Linked DNA regions of Macaca fascicularis. The protein of the gene in region 1 binds, or shares a complex with, the protein of each later gene. Links are inferred from orthologs where the notes say so. Each region holds a gene or a part of one and is shown on either strand. Other genes may lie near its edges.

Evidence for each region.
Region 2: the proteins of PLXNA2 (region 1) and NRP1 are in contact, whole or in part, in a crystal structure (PDB 4GZA), measured with the Mus musculus proteins. The link is inferred for Macaca fascicularis from reciprocal best matches to the Homo sapiens genes PLXNA2 and NRP1. Residues at the interface, in NP_032908.2 of Mus musculus: Asp273, Leu274, Phe275, Glu306, Lys341, Gly342, Gln343, Lys344, Gln345, His348, Pro350; in NP_032763.2 of Mus musculus: Glu78, Arg80, Asp81, Lys83, Tyr84, Asp126, Tyr127, Glu128, Thr129.
Region 3: the proteins of PLXNA2 (region 1) and SEMA6A are in contact, whole or in part, in a crystal structure (PDB 3AL8), measured with the Mus musculus proteins. The link is inferred for Macaca fascicularis from reciprocal best matches to the Homo sapiens genes PLXNA2 and SEMA6A. Residues at the interface, in NP_032908.2 of Mus musculus: Ala93, Cys94, Tyr95, Pro96, Lys155, Gln192, Asp193, Tyr194, Asp220, Phe221, Val222, Pro229, Ser230, Asp231, Leu386, Lys389, Val391, Thr394, Lys395, Ala396, Pro397, Val398, Leu407, Asp408, Ile409, Asn410, Gln411; in NP_061214.2 of Mus musculus: Arg108, Met109, Lys110, Gly111, Met162, Ala163, Thr188, Phe190, Leu191, Ile193, Tyr198, Thr206, Arg208, His212, Asp213, Ser214, Glu219, Gln266, Arg267, Glu270, Lys271, Lys393.

Annotation. Positions count from the first base shown.
Region 1 is NC_088375.1:66,055,730-66,060,160, forward strand, and holds the start of PLXNA2 (plexin-A2), read right to left. Parts: upstream 2,806-4,431; 5' UTR 2,126-2,805; intron 1-2,125. UniProt on the Homo sapiens protein: Coreceptor for SEMA3A and SEMA6A. Necessary for signaling by SEMA6A and class 3 semaphorins and subsequent remodeling of the cytoskeleton. Plays a role in axon guidance, invasive growth and cell migration.
Region 2 is NC_088383.1:34,082,267-34,085,913, forward strand, and holds part of NRP1 (neuropilin-1), read right to left. Parts: intron 2,269-3,647; coding exon 2,094-2,268; intron 1-2,093. UniProt on the Homo sapiens protein: Cell-surface receptor involved in the development of the cardiovascular system, in angiogenesis, in the formation of certain neuronal circuits and in organogenesis outside the nervous system. Mediates the chemorepulsant activity of semaphorins.
Region 3 is NC_088380.1:123,158,529-123,162,175, reverse strand, and holds part of SEMA6A (semaphorin-6A), read left to right. Parts: intron 1-816; coding exon 817-993; intron 994-1,366; coding exon 1,367-1,507; intron 1,508-1,594; coding exon 1,595-1,675; intron 1,676-3,647. UniProt on the Homo sapiens protein: Cell surface receptor for PLXNA2 that plays an important role in cell-cell signaling. Required for normal granule cell migration in the developing cerebellum.

The DNA.
Region 1 (4,431 bases):
ACCAGCTGGGATTTCCTTGGCAGACTCATGGTCCCTGGGTAGAGGAGATCTCCTGGTACTTTACCACTGCTGCTCTTCAGCATCTTCCCTGCACATCGCTCCAAATGTCATTTCCATTTAACTGCTTTGCAAGCCAATTTGCCCCCATCCTAATGCAATTTGCTGAGGACAGTGAGGGAGCAGAGAGGGCAGTCTGCATTGCCCTCCCTTTATCAGCGGGTCCCTGAAGAGGATCAGCTGCAGAGTGGAGGGAAATAACTCCTTTAGGTAATGCTGGCTGGTGGCAGCAGGGGCAAGTTCCGGGATGAGGAGGGGTTGGTGGTGATGCTGGATGGAAGAAGGGGAATGAAAAACAACCTCGCTAGGGTATTTTCACAGATTCCACTCTGTTTCCTTGGTTCCCTACCCTTTCTCCTCACTGCCCCTTCAGCCCCCAGGACACCACCGAGGAGAGATCCCAGGTAATTAGTTCAAATGGTTCTCTGTGAAGAGAGAGGGAAGTTAATGAATTCTTCTCTTTTCTTGCCTGGAGGTCAGAGGGGAGAGGGCTGCAAGAAACTCTGGGAGCTTTCTGGGGTCATTGCATAAAAGTTGTGCATTTCAGTTAGGAATAGCTGAATTCCTCCAGCCAAGGTTATCTCTTCCTGGGGCTCTGTCACTCAGTAGAAGGCCCCAGAATCTAAAGTCAACCCAGAGGGAACAGTGAGGTTTCAATGTCTAGGAAAGAAGCCCAGCAAAGGAGGGAGACTGCTATTGTGTGGGGAGAGGGGAGAGCTAAACCTGACTCGTGCTCTCAAAGTGTCCAGCCCAGGCCAGCCAAGATATTCATCTTGGCCTGCCGCTCATAAGCCTTGTCCACTGGGCACGTGAATGGAAGGAAATGAATGTGACCCCAAATTTCTGTGGGTTCCTCCAAGCCAATGGGCCCCCAAGTGACTGCCTCAAGCTGTGATTGGCAGTCCCAATCCCCTCAAACTGATCCTGCCTTCATGTCCCTTGCGTACCTTCTATGATGTGCCACTGTCACTCTAACATCTTAGATTCCTACAGGAATCCTGTTCATATTTCCATTGCCCACCTCCTGGGGCTCTCATTTCTAGACCCTTGCTGACCTAGAACCTCAAATCTCTTATCCAACTTCCTCTCCCCCATTATTTCTATCCCTCCTGAGCAGAGCTGAGTTTGAGTAGGTAGGTCCCACTAGGGCAAGGGTCATTCCAAACAGGTGGACACTTTTTCGGGGACCTAGAATGGTAGTTTCTGGTGACTCTCTGGGCATCTAGACCATGATTGGTATTATAGAGACTACCTGTGGGATGGATAAAAAGGGCTAGAATTTTCCAGGATCCCTACCTAACTTGTGGGGTGGGGCAAGAAAGAGCACATGGAAGGAAATATTCTCAAATGGTTCATAAGGAGCCTCTGGGACCCTAAGCAAACTCCCATTTCAACCCCCAGCACTCGCGTGGTCCTCAAACTATGGGGCTGGACCCCTGCTGGGCGATACACTGCAAAGGGAGTCCTGGGAGATGAAACACTCAGACCCATTCAGTGCCTGGGAATCTCTCCCTGAGCATTATGGAACCCGCGCAAATGATGTTTTCCCCTTCTCCTGATCTCCAGTCCCGGATCTGAAGGGACAGCCGGCGGCCACCAGGGACTCTGGCACTGGAGTGAACGCCCCCAAATCGATCGCTGGCCACTGTGGCTTTGGGTTGTCTCGCTGGTGCCACCGAGGCCCTCTTTGGGCTCCAGCTCTCGGGACAGCCTTGCCGCCCCGAGCTCCCCAAAGCCGCAGAGCGCCGGCAGGTGCGCGGTGGAGGCGCGCCGCGGAGCGCTGCTGCCGCCCTCAGCCCGCGGCCGGGAAGCCTGCTGGCTGCCGGCCGGGAAGCCCTGGGCGGGAGGCACCGGCTCCAGTGAGCCTGAGATCGCGCGCACGCCGCGCTCCGGCCCGCGAAAGTGGCCGAGCCCACACGGGGACTCGCCCGCCGCGGCCAAGCCCGGTTGCCTGGGGCCGGGACCCCAAAGAGGCGGGTGCGGGAGAAGCAGCCACGGGTGTGCGCGCCTGTGGGGAGAAGGCTGAAGGCGCTGCCGACTCCGAGCGTCCGGCCCAGCCGCCGCTTACCCAGCTCGGCGACGTCGGTCTGTCCTTCCGTCCCTGCTCCGTCTGCCTCGGCCGCCGGCTGCTGAGGGCGGCGCGAGGCCCCTCTCCCTGCCCGCAGCTCCGAATCAGGGAGAAGACCAAATCCACATGGAGTCCAAATTCATTAAAATCCACGTCAAGCCACCAGCCACTTATCTGTATTCCTGAAGTCGCCCCGCGGTCTCCGCTCCGCGCGCCCCTCAGTCCTCGGTCGCCCCGCAGCAGCCCGGCTGGGCGCTGTCGCCGGCTCGCGGGGGGCACCTGGAGGCGCCGAGGGGGCGTGTGGGGGTGGCCGGCGGTGTCTCTCGTGGGGAAGAAGCAGAGCCCCGGCTTTCTTCAGATTTTTCCAGCGCGACTTTCCGGGCTCCTCTGACATCAGCAATCCCGGCGCTTCCTTCCCTTCTTGCTCTCCGGTTCGTTCACAGTCCCATTTCCTCCGGGAGCCTGGCTTTCCAGATCTATTTCGAGGTTTGCTCCGCCGGCTGCGGCCCTCGCGCTGCCTACCGTTCCCAAGCTCGCGGGGTCTCTCTCCGGATCGCTCGCCCTCTCGGCTGAAAAATTCTCAGCAACTGCGCTCCGCTGCCCTCCCGCTCCAGTCTGGCGCGGATGCCTCTCAGCCCGGCAGCTCTGGCTCCCGCGGTGGCGGCGGCGGCGGCGGCGGCGGAGCCCTGAGCGCCGGCCTCCCTATTTTACCATGCAGCTCATTATCATAGAGGCCGCGCGCGTTAACCCCCTCCCCGCCGGCCGCGGCCGCCCGAGCTGGGGCCGCGCCCGCTGCTGGCACCGCCCGCCACAGCCAGCCCCGTGCCCCCTCCCCCGCCCGCGCGGACTTCCTCCTCCGCAAGCTGTCAACAAAGGAGAAGCAGGTTTGGCATCCGGAGGCCGCTCCGCTGCCTGTCCTGCGCCCAGCTCAGCCCGGACCCATTGGCCACCTTAAGTAGCCAAGGGGGCAAGGAAAATGCTACCAGGGCCCGGGAATTCGAGTAGGGCCTTGCGAACCCAGCTGGTTTAGCCCCCGGTGGAGATAGAAGGTCGAGCGTTGGGGTTAGCGGGGAGCTCAGGACACAGGAAGAGTGGGTGAGGGCAGTAGGGACAGGGACTCCCCCGCCATTCGCATCACCTGTCACCGCGCACATCCTGCACACCTCCCTCTTGATCTTTGAGTGAGGGGTGAGCGGGGAGGAACGGGGCTTGTCTGATGGGGTTGAGACTAGAGTCTTGGAATTTGTGGGAGCAAATTTCCTCTTCTTGTAAATTAAAAAAAAAAAAAAAAAGCCAGCAAGCTGTCAAATAAGGCTTGAAGTTGTTATTATTATTGCAACGAGAAGATGAACCTTGCTCTGAATTGAATCTCAAGCTTCCAGCCCTGATAGGGATCCTGGGCATCTGAGAAGTCCCGACTTGGATGAGGGCATTGGGAACCGGAGAAGAGCTTTCTATATCCAATTCAGAGAATCTTTTTGCCAGGGGAATCAGAGGGGTGGCGATAAGATAACTTATTTTAATAACCTAAGGTGAGAGGTTTCAGGATTCTGGACGACAATGCCTCGGTGCCCTCAAGGCCACTGATGCCTTGCTACACAGTCTCAGTAACTCTGCAGCTTCTAAACACTGCTTTTCGGAACGGGCCTGCAAGCTGGACCCCAGCGAGTTCGCAGGGTCTGCGTAGTCCCTGCTCGCGATTAGAGCTCACACGAGTTTACTCCTGTCCAAGTACGCTGTTAAGCTTCCTCTACTGCCCTCTCGTGGCCACAGTCCTCAGTGGTATAAATCGAAAAAACAACATAAATCACTACAGAAAACCTAAAAGCAATTGCACGAAATTCTTAGAGCAGTAGGGGCAGAAGAAAGGAAGGGAGGGAGGGATGAAGAAAGGGAGCCAGAAAAAAGAGAGAGAGAGAAAGAGAGGAAGAAGAAAAGGAAATCTAGACTAACCAGTCATCTCGAACAATCGTTCATTCAATACAGGACTGGGGGATCCAGGCTTTCCTCCAGTATCTGCAGAAATCAGCTAATTCTTCAAAAGTCCTTCATTGTAATTAGCTGAAATTTGCGATCCTGTAACTTTCACTGGTTCCTGCTAGTTTTGTCCTGTGGAGCCACAAAGAATCTGTCTAAGCTGTGTTGCCTGATCCATACTTGTTCTTTCCTTCAAACTTCTTTAAGAGCATTTATTGTTGGTAACACACCAATAAATTATCATATTTACCCTGTATTATTATTTATTTATTTTTATAAGTAGATCTTGTCTCCCCATGCAGACAGTCTAGTCGATCCCTTTATCTCTG
Region 2 (3,647 bases), on another chromosome or scaffold:
GTGACATCACATGGGTAGTTTGAAATTGGCTATGATGAGAGTATTCACACCACAGAAATTGGCATGTGCTACATACAGATCAGGACTTGACTTGTCTTCTCCAAAGAGCCAGCTGTTAAACATTTACCACCACACCAGTGCCAATAACTAGTGATTATTCTGAATTCTTTAAGTATTATGTTACATGTATTGATGGTCATGATTTCCAGATTAGAAATTAGTAAACGTCAGTTTATTGCATTCTAACAGCACTTTATTTTTTTGGAATAATGTTATTACTTGAGTAAGTTTTACCAGAAGTTCTCCTATAGCAGTTTAAACATGGTCAAAAAGCAAATACTACTACTACTACTACTACTACTACTAATAATAATGAAGTATATGAAATATAATAGAAAACAAGTATCCAGATTGTGTAGGTGATTGACACTGTAAAAACCACCATAAAGAATATTAGCAAAATAAATAAATAAATACAATGAACTCTTTGTTTCCAAGCAGTCACTGTAACACTATTAATGGCAACTTCCATACGCAATTAAAAAGTCAATATAATGCCCTGGAGCACTTCTGAATCACAAAGCAAAGATTAAATTGGAATTGGTGTAATTTTATTGCACTGTAGTATACATTGATTATTTGGAAACTGATCATCAGCCTATGGATTTATACTAATTCTCTAGGCACCAAAATGTTGAATGAACCAGATGCCCTCATCTGTCTGACCATGAAAAGCTAGTTTACTACACCAACTCAACAGGTTGTTGAGCGCTTTCTACAGGTAGGAAGATTTTGATATTACTCTGTTCTTTCCCAAAAGAAACGTGTGTTCAAATAGACTGTCTTTAACAATGAATATACTTGCAAAATAATATTTAGGTCCAGTGGTAGCAGTAGTCTATAGATACCATACACAGTTACACCAAACTGACCCACTTTAAAACTTGCAAAAACCTCTCAGTCCCTGAGAAACACTTTAGAATTGAGATTTAAATTGATTAGTTTTCTTTGATAAAACTATTTATATAGGTACAAACTTAATAAAAGATGGATATTCAGGTTCAAGTCTCTGGAAACTACACCACTTTCAGTGTGTCAGAATGGGATAACGTGTAAAAGACAAAGACAGGGGGTCTGTTGGGTGTCAAGAGAGACTAGCAAATATGTATCCGAGTGGACTGCTACGTGCAAGGTAAAAACATAATTTCAATACTGTGGAAAGCAATATCCACATACCAGTTCTTTCACATAAAGTGAGGAAATATAATTTCGACTGTCTCGTAGTGAGAATGTCTTCATAATAACAAAATCTGGCATAAGTTAATGTTTAGAAACTTAACAATAGAAAGACATAGCAAGACTAAGCAGATGGATGAAACACTGATGTGTATTTGAGTTCCCATTGTATTCATCGTGTCTTACCAATTATTTTCTAGCATTTTCCATAAAAGTATTTTAATCAGTAATCTACCATTTACAAAACCCCTCATCTGGCTTATCATGTAGGACTTATTATTATTCAATGACAATTTGCTGTTTCCATGTCAAACTTAGTAAGAATAATTGTCATTATTCAATGACAATTTGCTTTTCCCATGTCAAACTTAGTAAGATGCAGTTCTTAATCATAAGATGTGCCTCAGTTCAATATATCTCAAATAGTGAGATCTCCAATCCCACTATCTGTGGATGTGATGTATATTAGAGATCCACTGCATTTCATAAAAATGCAAGTGAGATTTTTGAGTTTCTAGTTCTTCCCCTCTCCAGGGAAAAAAAAAAAAAAAAAAAAAGAAAGCAAAAAGAAACATACATAGTGTATACATTTCTTCACAAAAGAGTTCCCAAACCAAAAGTGCTAACAGGAAGGAGTATGAGAGATTACACATGTAACTATAATCTTCCTGGTTTGGGGAACTCAGAAATCACTTAACGTAATTCAATTTCTATACCATTGACATATAATCTGGCTGAGATTGGAATCCCTCCTGGATCCATTTATAATCTACGTTGTACACGCTGACTTCCCCCCGTAGACAGGCGTGACCACTAGATGGTGCTGTGGTGCCCTATTCAAACACATCCCCACTTACTTGCAATCTCTGTCCTCCAAATCGAAGTGAGGGTTGAAGTTGATCATAATTCTCTGGTATGGGTCCGGAGCCTGAATCAGCCATTCACATTTTTCACTTGGGTGATAAGAATGAGGATAACCAGGAGATGTAAGGTATCCGGGGCTTTCAATTTTTATAGTATCGCCACATTTATCTGCAATAAAAGTAAGATTTTAGTAGATCTTTCCTGACAACCTCTTAGGTAATCTAGCTTTATATATAAATTACCGGTTATTAAACATTCCCTAACTTTTTAAGGGGAACTTTAAAAGGTCCCCGTAAGTCCTTCGTGTGGCCCTGACTGCAACACTCCACAAAAAAAACACTCTTTGATCTCAGGAAGGTTGACTCAGGCAGAAAGCCAACTGAGATCTGAGAGGACTCTTCGCCCAGCCCCGAAGTTTCTTCCTAAGGAAAAGGTCTTCTAGCATTAAAAACATTAAATCCCCTCAATTGATGTTAACATGGTCCCCTGGGAGCTTCTGCTAGACTTAATTATCCCCCAAGAAGTGTAATCACATTAAGTAGCAAGTTCTAAGTGGAAAGTGACTGAAAGATGCTGTTCGACCCCTTGTGTTGTTTTTTGATGATAAGCCTGGTCTATGTCATTGATCAGTGGGGATTGTCTTTGATTGGCTTAAAGCCAAACCTTTTGTTGTTGTTGTTTTATCTGCCCATAAATCTAAGTGATTTTGAGTTCTCTCTGCTCTTGAGATCCAAATCAACAGAGAACAAAGTATATTTGGTGAAGCAGAAATAATTCTGCTTTACTTCTCCAAGTAAGGTTGTTCATTCTTAAAAATCAGATCAAAGCAAAGGGGCAGAAAAAAAAAAAAGGTAAATAGCCACATGGCATTAATTCTAATTACCTAAATGTTGGGTGAAAAATAACCCACCACACAGGTGTGGGTATCATGTATGGTAACCCACATTCTCACATTCTGGGAAAGGTGAGCTAACTCGTTTTGAGCCTTCACTTCAAAAATGCTCAAGTGAAGCCAAATAAACCAAATAAACTAGTCTCTGGACTGCCTTATTGTTCAGCATAGATTCTCATTGTCACATTTTATGATGGATTTCATACTGGAGCACCTCAGCCTGAAATGCTGCCACATTTACTGATGCTTAATTTTGAGCAATAAAAATTCGGTGCATAAACTATACAAGAGAAACAGGTATGAAAGCAGTGAAATATATAAGCCTATCAATCACAAATTTTCAGTAATGGTATATATAGATTTTAACACTGCATCTAATAGATTCTCTGTGGAAAGAGAATGGCATTCTTTGCTCTCAGCATGAATTTATAAATCTACAGAATTTTATTACAGGAAAACCAGGTCAAATGGAAATGAAAGATGAAGTGCACATCAAAAATGCGTAAAGCTACATGCATCACAGAAATCATTTCCCATAAATTAAAAAAGAAGACAATATAAGTTATATTGTTTTTCTCAATCACTAGGTGCTTGACTTTGTTCCTTAGACTGGGGGTAGTCTTATTCTGGTTTCCTTTGCATTGGCTTGTAAAAG
Region 3 (3,647 bases), on another chromosome or scaffold:
TGTTAATTAACTTTACCACTATTTTTATACTCTGACTTTATTAAAATATATTAAAGCACTGTAATAGCTCTGGCACATAAAATGGAAACCACGGTATATAACTTGCAGGAGGGTCTGTTTTCTGGTTCCAGCTATGGTGCTTAGGACAACTGGGTCCCCATAGAATGTCGAATGTTCAAGAGATTTCAGAGAAAGCAAATTGCTGGTAGGACTTATCCTAGGTATGCCCTTCACCTTTAGCTTTAAATGGATATTGTTTGGCTTGCAGGTCCCTGCAGTTTTTAGCAGTGCCATTAGCACCCTACCTCCTCATCCTTGAGAAGTCTCCCAGCCCCTCGACATACAACTGGAAAGCTTTCCAATCAAACATTTTGTCGATGAAGGCTTTGTACCTCAGAGGAAGAGTATGGAGAAATGGTAGTCATTGCTTTTCAATGTTAAATTAAAGGTTAAATGAATTTATTACTTCTTACCTTCATCATAGGAGACATTAGTCTTTCCTTGTCGTTCATGGAAGGGATTATTGCTAAGTGGTTTCAGGTGGTTTTGGCTATCTATTATGGGACTTGGCCCAGAAACACACACACATACACACACACACACACACATTCACACCTCCTTCCTCCCCTTTGGAGCCATACTAATGCTCTGCAAATGGAAATAAAGGGCCAGAACCACTTGAGAACATTATTTATATGCATACATTTTTCTTGAGGTTATTACTAGAAAGCTATGGCACAGCTGTTTGAAGTGGAACAGGGAACACTTTAATGATAGACCAACAAAGAGATAAAAAATGTGGTCCTGTCATTTTAGATACCGCCTGACCAAAATTGCAGTGGACACGGCTGCTGGGCCGTATCAGAATCACACTGTGGTTTTTCTGGGATCAGAGAAGGGAATCATCTTGAAGTTTTTGGCCAGGATAGGAAACAGTGGTTTTCTAAATGACAGCCTTTTCCTGGAGGAGATGAGCGTTTACAACCCTGAAAAGTAAGTAGAATATTTGGTTCTTCCTTAGTTATTATTTGTTACGCTGTTATGGTCCCTTTCATTCAGAGAAAATCATGGCCGACTTAGGTTTTATGCATTTTTAGATGACTTTTTAATGCCGTTTGTAAAAATTTTTTAACATCTAAAAAGCATTATTTTCTCCTTGCCAGTGTGTGTGTGTGTGTGTGTGTTTATATAGATACATACATATGTGTGTGTCTACATGTGTGCATGAGCATAAGGATTTGTTTGTTTCACTGCCAATTAGATCAGATTAAGAGATTGCCTTGTGGGCTGGGAAGTGGGATGTGAGGGTGGTGCTGAGAAAAAGAGAAGAGTCTATTAATGATATTATCTTGCCTGATGAAATTAGATGCAGCTATGATGGAGTCGAAGACAAAAGGATCATGGGCATGCAGCTGGACAGAGCAAGCAGCTCTCTGTATGTTGCATTCTCTACCTGTGTGATAAAGGTTCCCCTTGGCCGGTGTGAACGACATGGGAAGTGTAAAAAGTATGTATTTTGCCTCACTGACAATTAGAAAGTCCGTGGTGGCTAGGAAACAGTCCTACGTAGCTCATGGTCATCCTCTTCCTGCAGAACCTGTATTGCCTCCAGAGACCCGTATTGTGGGTGGATAAAGGAAGGTGGTGCCTGTACCCATTTATCACCCAATAGCAGGTAAGGAGCCTGAGGAGTGGGAGAGGGTACAGTGGCTTCCAGCCAAGGTGTATTCTAGATGTAAGATTTGCTCTGCTCTCATACTCCACCACACAGCTTTCTGTGCACAAACACCAGCAACGGGACTGTCAGCCTTTCTCCTTCCCTTTCCCATTTCATGGAGCCTTACCACATCACATGTGGCAGATTTCCAATTGATTAATCATCCTCGAACTGATTAAAAACACAGAATGGAAACACAGTGGGCTTCAATGTATTCCCTAGAGAGAGAGACAAGAAGGTGCCTGCCTTGATCATCATGGTGGGAGAAAAGCAGAGAAAAGGAGCAATAGGATACCAATTAGATTAGTGAGTGCTTTGTTCAGTCATAGCAAAACTGGCTCTTGTAATTGACTGTGCAGGGCTGAGAAGAAATTGCAGAACATTTGTTAAGCAATGCAATTGTACTGCAAGCATGGTGTATACATCCAATAAACCTTTTCCTGCGCTGAAGAGCGGTTGACCCTGTTACTCTTTAGGCAGTCAATCAATTCTTGGCAGTTCTCCAACAGATCAGCTAGATGAGGCCAGTCCACCATGCCTGTGATTTGGGTGTTTAAAATTGTTACCCTGGCTTTAAATGCTTAGATGGCATTGGCTAAGAGGTTTCTTTTTATGCTTTTACTTCAGTGGATGTGAAATCCAAAATACATTTGCAAAAGTATTCAATGTTTATCTTTGATGGGTTGTGGCAAGCAATTTAGGAGGTTAGACAGCACACATCTTCCTTCAACACAGCCATTTCTGCAACCTCCCCAGATCCAAAGGGGGAACAGAACCATCTTTACATCACTCTGTGCCTCCTTTCCTATTTCAGAATAGCTAAACAAACAGAGCAAGGGCGTATCTTATGACCACCACCTGCATAATTTGAGGACAAGTATTCTCATAAACAGAGCTGATGATAACTATAAAATCTGACCTGGAAATTTGACTAATGCAAAAGTCTGAGTCACTGTATATTATTAGAACAGCTTTGCAAGTAGCATTATTGACATGCTGTAATATTAGAGGTTTGTACCTTTTCATTGGACCCCTCAAGGTGGAGGACAAAGGTTCACCAAGCATGGTGAGGGGAGCTATGAAATGACCTTTGTCCTTTCTGTGTTCAACATGTGACCAAAGGCTATAAGACTGATATTTTAAAAATTATTTTTAAGTCAATATAAGAACTCCAAAATGGTTTCCTTAAGGTTTGCATTCATATTTCAATGATGCTGGTATTGCTCAAAACATGGGGCACGCCCTTTGGAGAGTGGGCTCCAGGGCATCATGAATATTGGCTGTCATTACCACTAGAAATCTTCATCTTTTGAGGGATTTGATTTTTAATGTGGCAAAAAAGATTAGAAACAAAACATGGTGGATTATTAGATCAAGCTGTGACTTTCAAAATAGTTTTCCTATATGGCTCGTAAATAAGCTCTGAAAGCAGTTGCAAAATAAGAGTTTCAATTATATTATGGGAATATGTACAAAGTGCCCCTAAAGGAAGGTGACTCTGGTGTGCTTATTTTAAAAATCAAAATAGCTTTTATTAAAATTGGTTTTCTTAATGTCATGTCGCTTGTACAGCCCAGTGGTGACCTAGTAGACTTGGAAGAAACATGAGCCTGTCAAAGAGAATGACAGTAATACTCCCAAGGACTGGGGCAGGGCTGGGGGTAAACAAATAGCCAAGTGGTCTCCACAAAATGCACCACCGGCTCCTGTCCCCTCTCTAGCCACTTGGACCTTTGAACACTTTTGGGTAGATAAATGTCTAGGCAAAAAAACCTTGCCTAGGAAGGCAAGGGTAGGAGTGAAAGAGTAGAGAGAAAAAGACTTTTCTTTTTAATTTATAGACTTCTATATTGTTTCTATGAAGAGTGTATTTTAACATCTAAACTTCTTAAATGTTTAAGAAATGCTCAGAGAATTAGAGTAAAGAAGG